Linked DNA regions of Struthio camelus. The protein of the gene in region 1 purifies or fractionates together with the protein of each later gene. This does not show direct contact. Links are inferred from orthologs where the notes say so. Each region holds a gene or a part of one and is shown on either strand. Other genes may lie near its edges.

Region 1 (3,900 bases):
AACACTCTGCCTCATGCACCCCAGGAGACCATTGGCCTTCTAGGCCACAAGGGCACACTGCTGGCTCAGGGTCAACTTGTTGTCCACCAGCACTCCCAGGTCCTTCTCTGCAGAGCTGCTTTCCAGCAGGTCAACCCCCAGCCTGTCCTGGTGCATGGGGTTATTCCTGCCTAGGTGCAGGACCTTGCACTTGCCTTGGTTGAACTTCATGAGGTCCCCCTCCGCCCAACTCTCCAACCTGTCCAGGTCCCTCTGAATGGCAGCACAGCCTTCTGGTCCCTCAAGGCCGTGCGGCCGCTTTTCGTTTTTTGTTTTCTTTCTTTGTTTTAAACCTTTGAAGTTTCCAGCCTGGAATGGCCGTTTCCCACTCGTGGTTATACGCCGTGACTTTATATTTTTAGGCACCGGGCGGGTGTCGCTTCCCCGGGGGATGCTGCACCCTGTGGCGGGAGGGCGTTTCACCCCAAACAGGACGGGGTGAGAAGGTTTACGGGCCTTAAAACAACCCTTGTCGCCGGGAAAAAAAAAACGGGGGGAAAAAAAAAAAGGCACCCGGCCTTTTTTAGGGCTGCGACAAGAGTGAGGGGAGTAGTGTGAGTAACAGGCCCCCATGAGGGCGGCTTGACTGGAGGCGCCTCAGGGAGGCTGGGGACTACATTTCCCAGCATGCAACGCCGAGGCGGGCAACGCGTTCCACGCGTTGCCCGCCTCGGCGTTGCATGCTGGGAAATGTAGTCCTCTCCGCCGGCCACAAAGCAAGCCCCCCCCACCTATTCCTCGAGGCACCCCATTGGCCGCCCTCTCTGGCAAAGCCTATTGGCCGCAAGCGCTGTCAAGCAGCCCATGAGGGGAAGGAAGGCGATTCCCGGCGTTTCGATTGGTCGGAGGAAGGAGCGGGCGGGGTAGAACTAAAAAAAAAACCCCACCCACCCACCAAAGCCCTGAGGAGACGCTGGTTCTGATTGGCGGAGAGGGAGTTTGGCGCCAGCTTCGGAGCGGGGGCGGAGCGGGCGGGCGGCGCGCGCGCGCCGGGCGACGGGTGGCGGCGGGGGTCAAAGCGGCGCGGGTTGTTAGGGGGGCGGGGGGGGGAGGTTGCTGACAGGAGGAAGGAGTCGGCTCGCCGCCATGCACCGTGCGCCGGGGGGCTCGCACCGCCGCCGCCTCCTGCTGCTCTCCCCGGCGCCGCCCGCCGCCTCCGCCGTCGTCAAGTCCCTCTTTCCCGCCGAGCTCTCGCCGGTCTCCGACCTCCGCCTCACCATGGAGCAGCTGGGACGCGGGTCAGTCCGGCCGCAACCGCCCCCCCCCCCAAAAGGAGGGAGGCCTCGAGGGCCCCTTTCTGCCTCCCCCCCCCCAAAAGGAGGGAGGCCTCGAGGGCCCCTTTCTGCCTCCCCCCCCAAAAAGGAGGGAGGCCTCGAGGGCCCCTTTCTGCCTCCCCCCCCCCAAAAGGAGGGAGGCCTCGAGGGCCCCTTTCTGCCTCCCCCCCCCAAAAGGAGGGAGGCCTCGAAGGCCCCTTTCTGCCTTCCCCCCCCCCCCCCAAAAAAAGGAGGGAGGCCTCGAGGGCCCCTTTCTGCCTCCCCCCCCCCAAAAGGAGGGAGGCCTCGAGGGCCCCTTTCTGCCTCCCCCCCCCCCCAAAAGGAGGGAGGCCTCGAGGGCCCCTTTCTGCCTCCCCCCCCCCCAAAAGGAGGGAGGCCTCGAGGGCCCCTTTCTGCCTCCCCCCCCCAAAAGGAGGGAGGCCTCGAGGGCCCCTTTCTGCCTCCCCCCCCCCCAAAAGGAGGGAGGCCTCGAGGGCCCCTTTCTGCCTCCCCCCCCCCCAAAAGGAGGGAGGCCTCGAGGGCCCCTTTCTGCCTCCCCCCCCCCAAAAGGAGGGAGGCCTCGAGGGCCCCTTTCTGCCTTCCCCCCCCCCAAAAGGAGGGAGGCCTCGAGGGCCCCTTTCTGCCTTCCCCCCCCCCCCAAAAAAAGGAGGGAGGCCTCGAGGGCCCCTTTCTGCCTCCCCCCCCCCAAACGGAGGGAGGCCTCGAGGGCCCCTTTCTGCCTCCCCCCCCCCAAAAGGAGGGAGGCCTCGAAGGCCCCTTTCTGCCTCCCCCCCCCCAAAAGGAGGGAGGCCTCGAGGGCCCCTTTCTGCCTTCCCCCCCCCCCCCCAAAAAAAGGAGGGAGGCCTCGAGGGCCCCTTTCTGCCTCCCCCCCCCCAAACGGAGGGAGGCCTCGAGGGCCCCTTTCTGCCTCCCCCCCCCCAAAAGGAGGGAGGCCTCGAAGGCCCCTTTCTGCCTCCCCGCCCCCCCCCAAACGGTGGGAGGCCTCGAGGGCCCCTCTTCCCCCTTCCCTCCCTGTCCCGTTTCCCGCTGGGGTTCCTGCCGCGCAGCTCTCCTCCCCCGCCGCGTCCCCCCTTTCCGCCCCAGCCCGCGGCAGCGCCCCGTCCCTGCCCACGTGCTTCCCGGCGGCCCGGGGTCACACCGTGCGTCTGCCCTGCGCGGCCCCGGGCTGCCGCCTCTGCCCCCACCCCGCAGCGCCTGCCTCTCCCTCCCGGCGGGCAGCTCTCCTCTCGCTCCCGCCGCTGCCTGCCTCCCGCGACCCTGCGGCCGCCCCTCGCCCCCCGCCTGGCCGCAGGCCTCGCGGCTCTGCCGGCCTGCTCTCCCTGCTCCGCTCCCCTCCCAGCGCCCGCTGCCCCGGTGCCCTGTCCGGTTCTGCTGTTTCCAGGCTCTAACGTCTCTCCTTGTTCCTACAGCAACCTCTGCAGTTTCCCTTACAGGGCTCCTGTCTTGCCCTGGCCTACTGTCCGGTCCTGACAGCCCTCCTCGTGTTTGTCCTTTACCTCCTGTTTTTATAGCATTCTCCTCTCTGTAATCACTCGCTTCGTGGCCCTTCCCTCCTTCGGATTCCTGGAATTCCTGCAAACAATTCGCAGCGCGCTCCTGCACGCTCGCTGTTTTATCCTTAGAGTTTGTAGGCTGGCACGTCTTCTGAATTGACCTATTTGATGTACGAGCCGCGCTCGTGTAGCCTTTCCCTTCCCTAACGTACCAGAGGAAGGCCCTGCGGGACGTGCGCCTGTGCCCCGTGTTGAAGGGGTTGCGCCTGCAGCCCCGTACAAAGCCGGGGCGCGTGTGACGCGCCCCGGCGGGCCGGCACGGCAGCCTGCCTGGAGCCTCTCCGCCTTCTCGCGGGGCGGCTGGTCCTCGGACGCGTGCTGTGAGTCGGGCTCTGAACGCCGCGCGCCCCTTCATCTGCAGAGTGACGTAGATCGCGCCGATGGTTACGTGCGCGGGGAAAAGTGAACCTTGGGAAGTCAAAGCTGGAGACCTACCTACTTAGAAGGGGAGACTGTTGGAGTTGGACAGTTGGCCCCCCCCCCCTCAAAGTGTAGTTAACTGAGCAGGGCTGCGAAGGAAGGTTACAGCCCCAAGGAAGACAATGGCGCCCTGATACAGGGGTTTCTAGGGAACAATCTGGGAGGTGTCGATATGATTCAAGGCAACAGTATCCTATTGCACAGTTGCAGTGATTTTAGTCCTGAGGTCTTATCACAAGGCCTGTCGCTTTGTTGTGTTAAAACCTTCATTTGTGATGGCACAAGATCAGGATAAAGCATCACTTAAAAAAAAAAAAAAAAAAGTGGGGTGGGGAACACTTCACAGTTAATGTTATGCAGAAAAGCTTGGCAATCTGGCGCGAGGGGGCCAGAAGGGCTTCCAGGAAAGTCTTAACGGGCTGTTTCTATCCCTCTGTCAGTCTGACTCTTAATTTTGGTGGTCTAATTTCTAGTGTTATCAATACTGCATTTTAGAATTAAAAAACCAAGTTCCTGCAGACAATAGATGTGAGCATAGTTGGAAGTGTGGTGGGGTGTGTGATGTATCTGCTGTTTAGCACACAAAAGGCTTCAGTCTGCAGGGTTACCAAGCT
Region 2 (3,900 bases), about 62 Mb from region 1:
TACCCTCTAACGTAACTCCCGTGTGCTAACAAGCCAGAAACGTCAGTCATGCCTAGGAGCGGTATTTGCAAAGCACGTCTACAAGGGGCCAAACTAACGTGAGCGCTGCGATGCCATCCCGCTGACGGCGTCCGTGCTCTGCTATTAAACCAGCCCCTAAAACAGCGCTGCGGTGAGCGTTAGGCCAGAACTGTTTCATCAGAAGAGCCGTGTCCACGAGTTTGCTAGCGCCCACTTCAGTGGGTTGCGCTGAGGTAAGGCGTTATTACACAAGGAAATAATTTTACAAGCACTTAGGTGACTAAGGGCCACCCACTTTGAGAAAGGCCAGTTTTTGAAAATGGCGCACAGCTGCTGGAGCCAGGATGCAAGCGAAGCACTTTGCAAAGCAAAGATAATGTCTCTCTGTTTCTCCCTATTGTTTCCCCATTTTCTTTCCTTAGAAGCTATCGCACTATCGCATTTTCTGGAATGAATTCCAACGTTCTTTATTCTAACGTAAAGGAGTTAAAAAAAAAAACAACAACAAAAACCTCATCTGAATTGCTCCAAGTTTCGTTTGGCCCAACTCAGACCCAGAACCCGACCCCCTCTCTGCAGGGGAGCTCACTCAGCACGGTTTGTGATGGTGCAGCACAGAAAACCTCGGCAAAGCAAAACACAAACATCCACGTGAGGATAACTTAAACCCCATCCTTTTCTTTTGCAGCACAGCTCCACGAACGTAATTCCGCAGCTGCCCGGAACAAAGACGACGACAGGACTGACTCCAAAACGTTACTTTTCCCCGAAGCCCGTGTTAACTGTGGTACGATGCCGCACCACCCGCTCCGCACTGTTACACGCAGAAACCAGCCGCCCCCGCGTGCCGCCTACACAAAGGCGATGCTACACGCGCTGCCGCGTTTCACCTTTTCCCTTCACACACTGGAGCTCGCCACCGGAGCTGCTTTAATTTAAGCCTGCCCAGGGGGTCTCCCGGGGCCAGCACCCCAGCCGGCTGCGCCCCCCCCGGCCGCCCTCTCCCCAAACCGCCCTCTCCCCTGAGGCAGCGGCCGCCTGCCCGAGCCCGGGGTCGGGGCGAGGGGCGGCGCGGCGCGGCGAGGGGCGGCGCCTGGGCGCGCTCGGGGCCGCGCTGGGGGGAGGCGGCGGCGGCGGCGGCGGCGGCAGAGGGAGATCCGGGCCCGGCGGAAGGGGCGGGCGGACGCGGCCTGACTCTGCGGGACGCGCGATGCTGGTGAGTGCGGGGAGGCCGCGGCGTTGTGTCGCAGCCAGCCCGGCGGCGGTGGTGGTGGTGGGGCCCGGCCCGGCCCGGCCCGGCAGCTGCCAGGAGGGCCGCGGCCCAGGCCGAGGCGGCGGAGCGGAGCCCAGCACTGAGTCACGCCGCGGCGGGAGGCAGCGGGGCGAGGGGCGCCGGGCCCGGCCCGGCCTGCCCGCCCTCCTGCCCGCCCGCCTGCCTTTCTTCACCGCGCCAGGGAGGCGGCGGGCGCCGCCATGGCGGCCCTGGCGGCGCGGGCCCGGCGGCGGCGCGGAGGCCTCTAGCTACGCACTGGAAATACCTCGCCGCCCTCGGAGCCGGGAGCCCGCCTCGGCCCCTCGCTGCCCGGCTCCGGCCCTCTGCCGCCTCCTTGCCCTCGGCCCGGCTGCAGGGAGCTTCCCCCCATGTCCCCCCCCGCTGCCGGCCCAGCGTGTCCCCGCAGCCCCGGCGAGGCGCCGCTGCGGCCGGACAAACCCCCGCGTGTCCCTGGTGCCGCCGTGGCTCCTCGGCGCCGCGTCCCGCGCGTCCCCCCCCCGGCTGGGGTCGTGCTCCGGGCTTGCCCTGGTTGCCCCCTTGCTGTTGCCACCCCCCCCCCCCCAGTAGCCTTTTCTCTGTCGCCCCCGTCCAGGTGAGCGGTCCTGCAGGTTTTGGTCGTGGCTAACAGGCAGCTGGTCAGCCTCCCAGGAACTTGGTCCGGCACTGGAAGCTGGCTGCGTCTCTCCTGGCATCTCTTCCCATCCTTCTTGTTTCCCCTTCGAGTTGTGTTCTTTCATCATCGTTATTCCCTGATTACCTTTTCCCCCTTCCAGCTTTCTTCCTCCCCGGTAGCTGTTTCCTTCACCGCGATTCTTTGCCCTTCTGATCTTATTTTCCTGTTGTTAAATCCTTCCTCGTGATCTCACCTAATACCCTTTCCTTTTGACATGTTCCTTTTCTCCATCGACTCCCATGCTGTCTCCCCCCACTTTGTATTTAAATCCTCCAGCTGTGCTTTTGAGGAGAGGAGGAACTTCAGCCTAGATTGTATTTGTCAGCCAGTACTAGGAGAACACGAAACAAACATTTTTAAACCTGTTTTACCTTATTTTATTTGTTTCTTACTGATTTCCTCAGCAGTCTTTGCCCCAATACATGTGTTTGTGTATATTCACATTCTCTTCCCCCCTTTCTCCACCGACACACACACCCCCTAGTGTTAGTTTAGAAAAACAGCTCTCTTGGAAGACCTTTTGGTAGGACCTGGGGGAGTGGTCTGTGGGGGCAAGAAACTTCCAGCGGCTGTATAACTTAAATTAGTGCCAAGCATTGTTTCTTAATGCTGTATTGTGAATTGGTACTTCAGTTGAGGTACGGTATGTTTGGGATGGTTTCTCTTTGGGGAAGTCCTAAGAGGCCTCACTGGGCCTCCCTGCTACTCACTAGATGCATATTTTTTCCTCAGGAAATGATCACAGCGAACTGCTGCAGTGTTGAGTATTGGTGGCTGGGAGTCTGTGTTGCACTGGCACTTGTGTCTCTGCTAGTGACTCTACTGGAAAGTAGTCTTTTCTTTCTGCTTTGTGATTTCTTTTGTTTCTCAGTAGTAGGTTACCCAACTTCTTATTTTACATCTTTCTGAATTGCTTTAGTTCTTAACATTGGTTGCATTTTATAATCGCATCACCACGACGTATTTGAGGTCCCATTTAAACCTTGGACGTAGTTGTGCCATGGAGGTGTCAGGACTAGTTTCAAATTTTGGAAGTAATTTATACACCTAACTTAGAATCCAGAATGAGTATCTAACATTAACAGCTTATTCACAGTAGGATCTGTTTCTTCCTCATTGAGAAAGTAACTGGAAGACAGCTTAGAGTAACTGAATTAGACTTCTAGTCTGAATTACTCCCCTAGAGGAATCTTTTTCCATCGCCTATCAAGGGGTCGTATGGAGGAACAGTTTCTTGGTTTAGGCACCTAAATAAGACACATGTGCCAATACAATGTTGACAAAGCAGTTGTGCTGATTAAACTAAATGATTCTACTTCTACTTTTATCCTTTCTACACTGGTTTACACTTGCCTTATAGCTTGAGCCTGTTACTTAGTCTGTCAGCATGAGAAAATTGAATCACTAATTTATATCATTTAAATTTAAGCTCAAATGATTCATACCCTTATTTGGAAACTGATGTGAGGATGGCTTTTGTGATTTCAGCTTATTCTCATTATTAGCTTAAAGTCTTACATCCTAGCCATATTGTTATGGATATAACATTGGATCCTCGGAGAAAGTTGTTATATCAGATATTATATCAGATATTAAGAAAAGGTTTTTTTTTTTCTTTTTGTAATTTAGATGTCAAGATCTCTGAATACTGCTTTTCATCAGTTATGTTTCTCAGGTGGTGTCTCCTTTTACATAGTTGCACAAAACTAACTTCTCACTTCAGTGAGACCCAGCTTAATGATGAGTCACATCCTGGGTGTTAGCGGTGAGGTGAATTGAGTGTACCTGGAGTCTTCTCTTCTGGCATTGAAACTGTTTTTATGTATTTATTTTTCCCAGTGGATGAAACAGGTTTAAAGAAGTACTTGTAGTTATACCACTGTCAACGTCAAAAAATTTGCGCTGTGAATGTGACGTGAGCAGATTGTCCTAG

The links.
Region 2: the proteins of CDC25A (region 1) and CUL1 purify together in Homo sapiens (affinity purification with western blotting; 6 studies listed by BioGRID, with this or other methods). This does not show direct contact. The link is inferred for Struthio camelus from reciprocal best matches to the Homo sapiens genes CDC25A and CUL1.

Annotation. Positions count from the first base shown.
Region 1 is NC_090943.1:996,456-1,000,355, forward strand, and holds the start of CDC25A (M-phase inducer phosphatase 1), read left to right. Parts: upstream 1-1,003; 5' UTR 1,004-1,125; coding exon 1,126-1,277; intron 1,278-3,900. UniProt on the Homo sapiens protein: Tyrosine protein phosphatase which functions as a dosage-dependent inducer of mitotic progression. Directly dephosphorylates CDK1 and stimulates its kinase activity. Also dephosphorylates CDK2 in complex with cyclin-E, in vitro.
Region 2 is NC_090943.1:62,580,260-62,584,159, forward strand, and holds the start of CUL1 (cullin-1), read left to right. Parts: upstream 1-1,113; 5' UTR 1,114-1,237; intron 1,238-3,806; exon of another isoform or gene 3,807-3,900. UniProt on the Homo sapiens protein: Core component of multiple cullin-RING-based SCF (SKP1-CUL1-F-box protein) E3 ubiquitin-protein ligase complexes, which mediate the ubiquitination of proteins involved in cell cycle progression, signal transduction and transcription.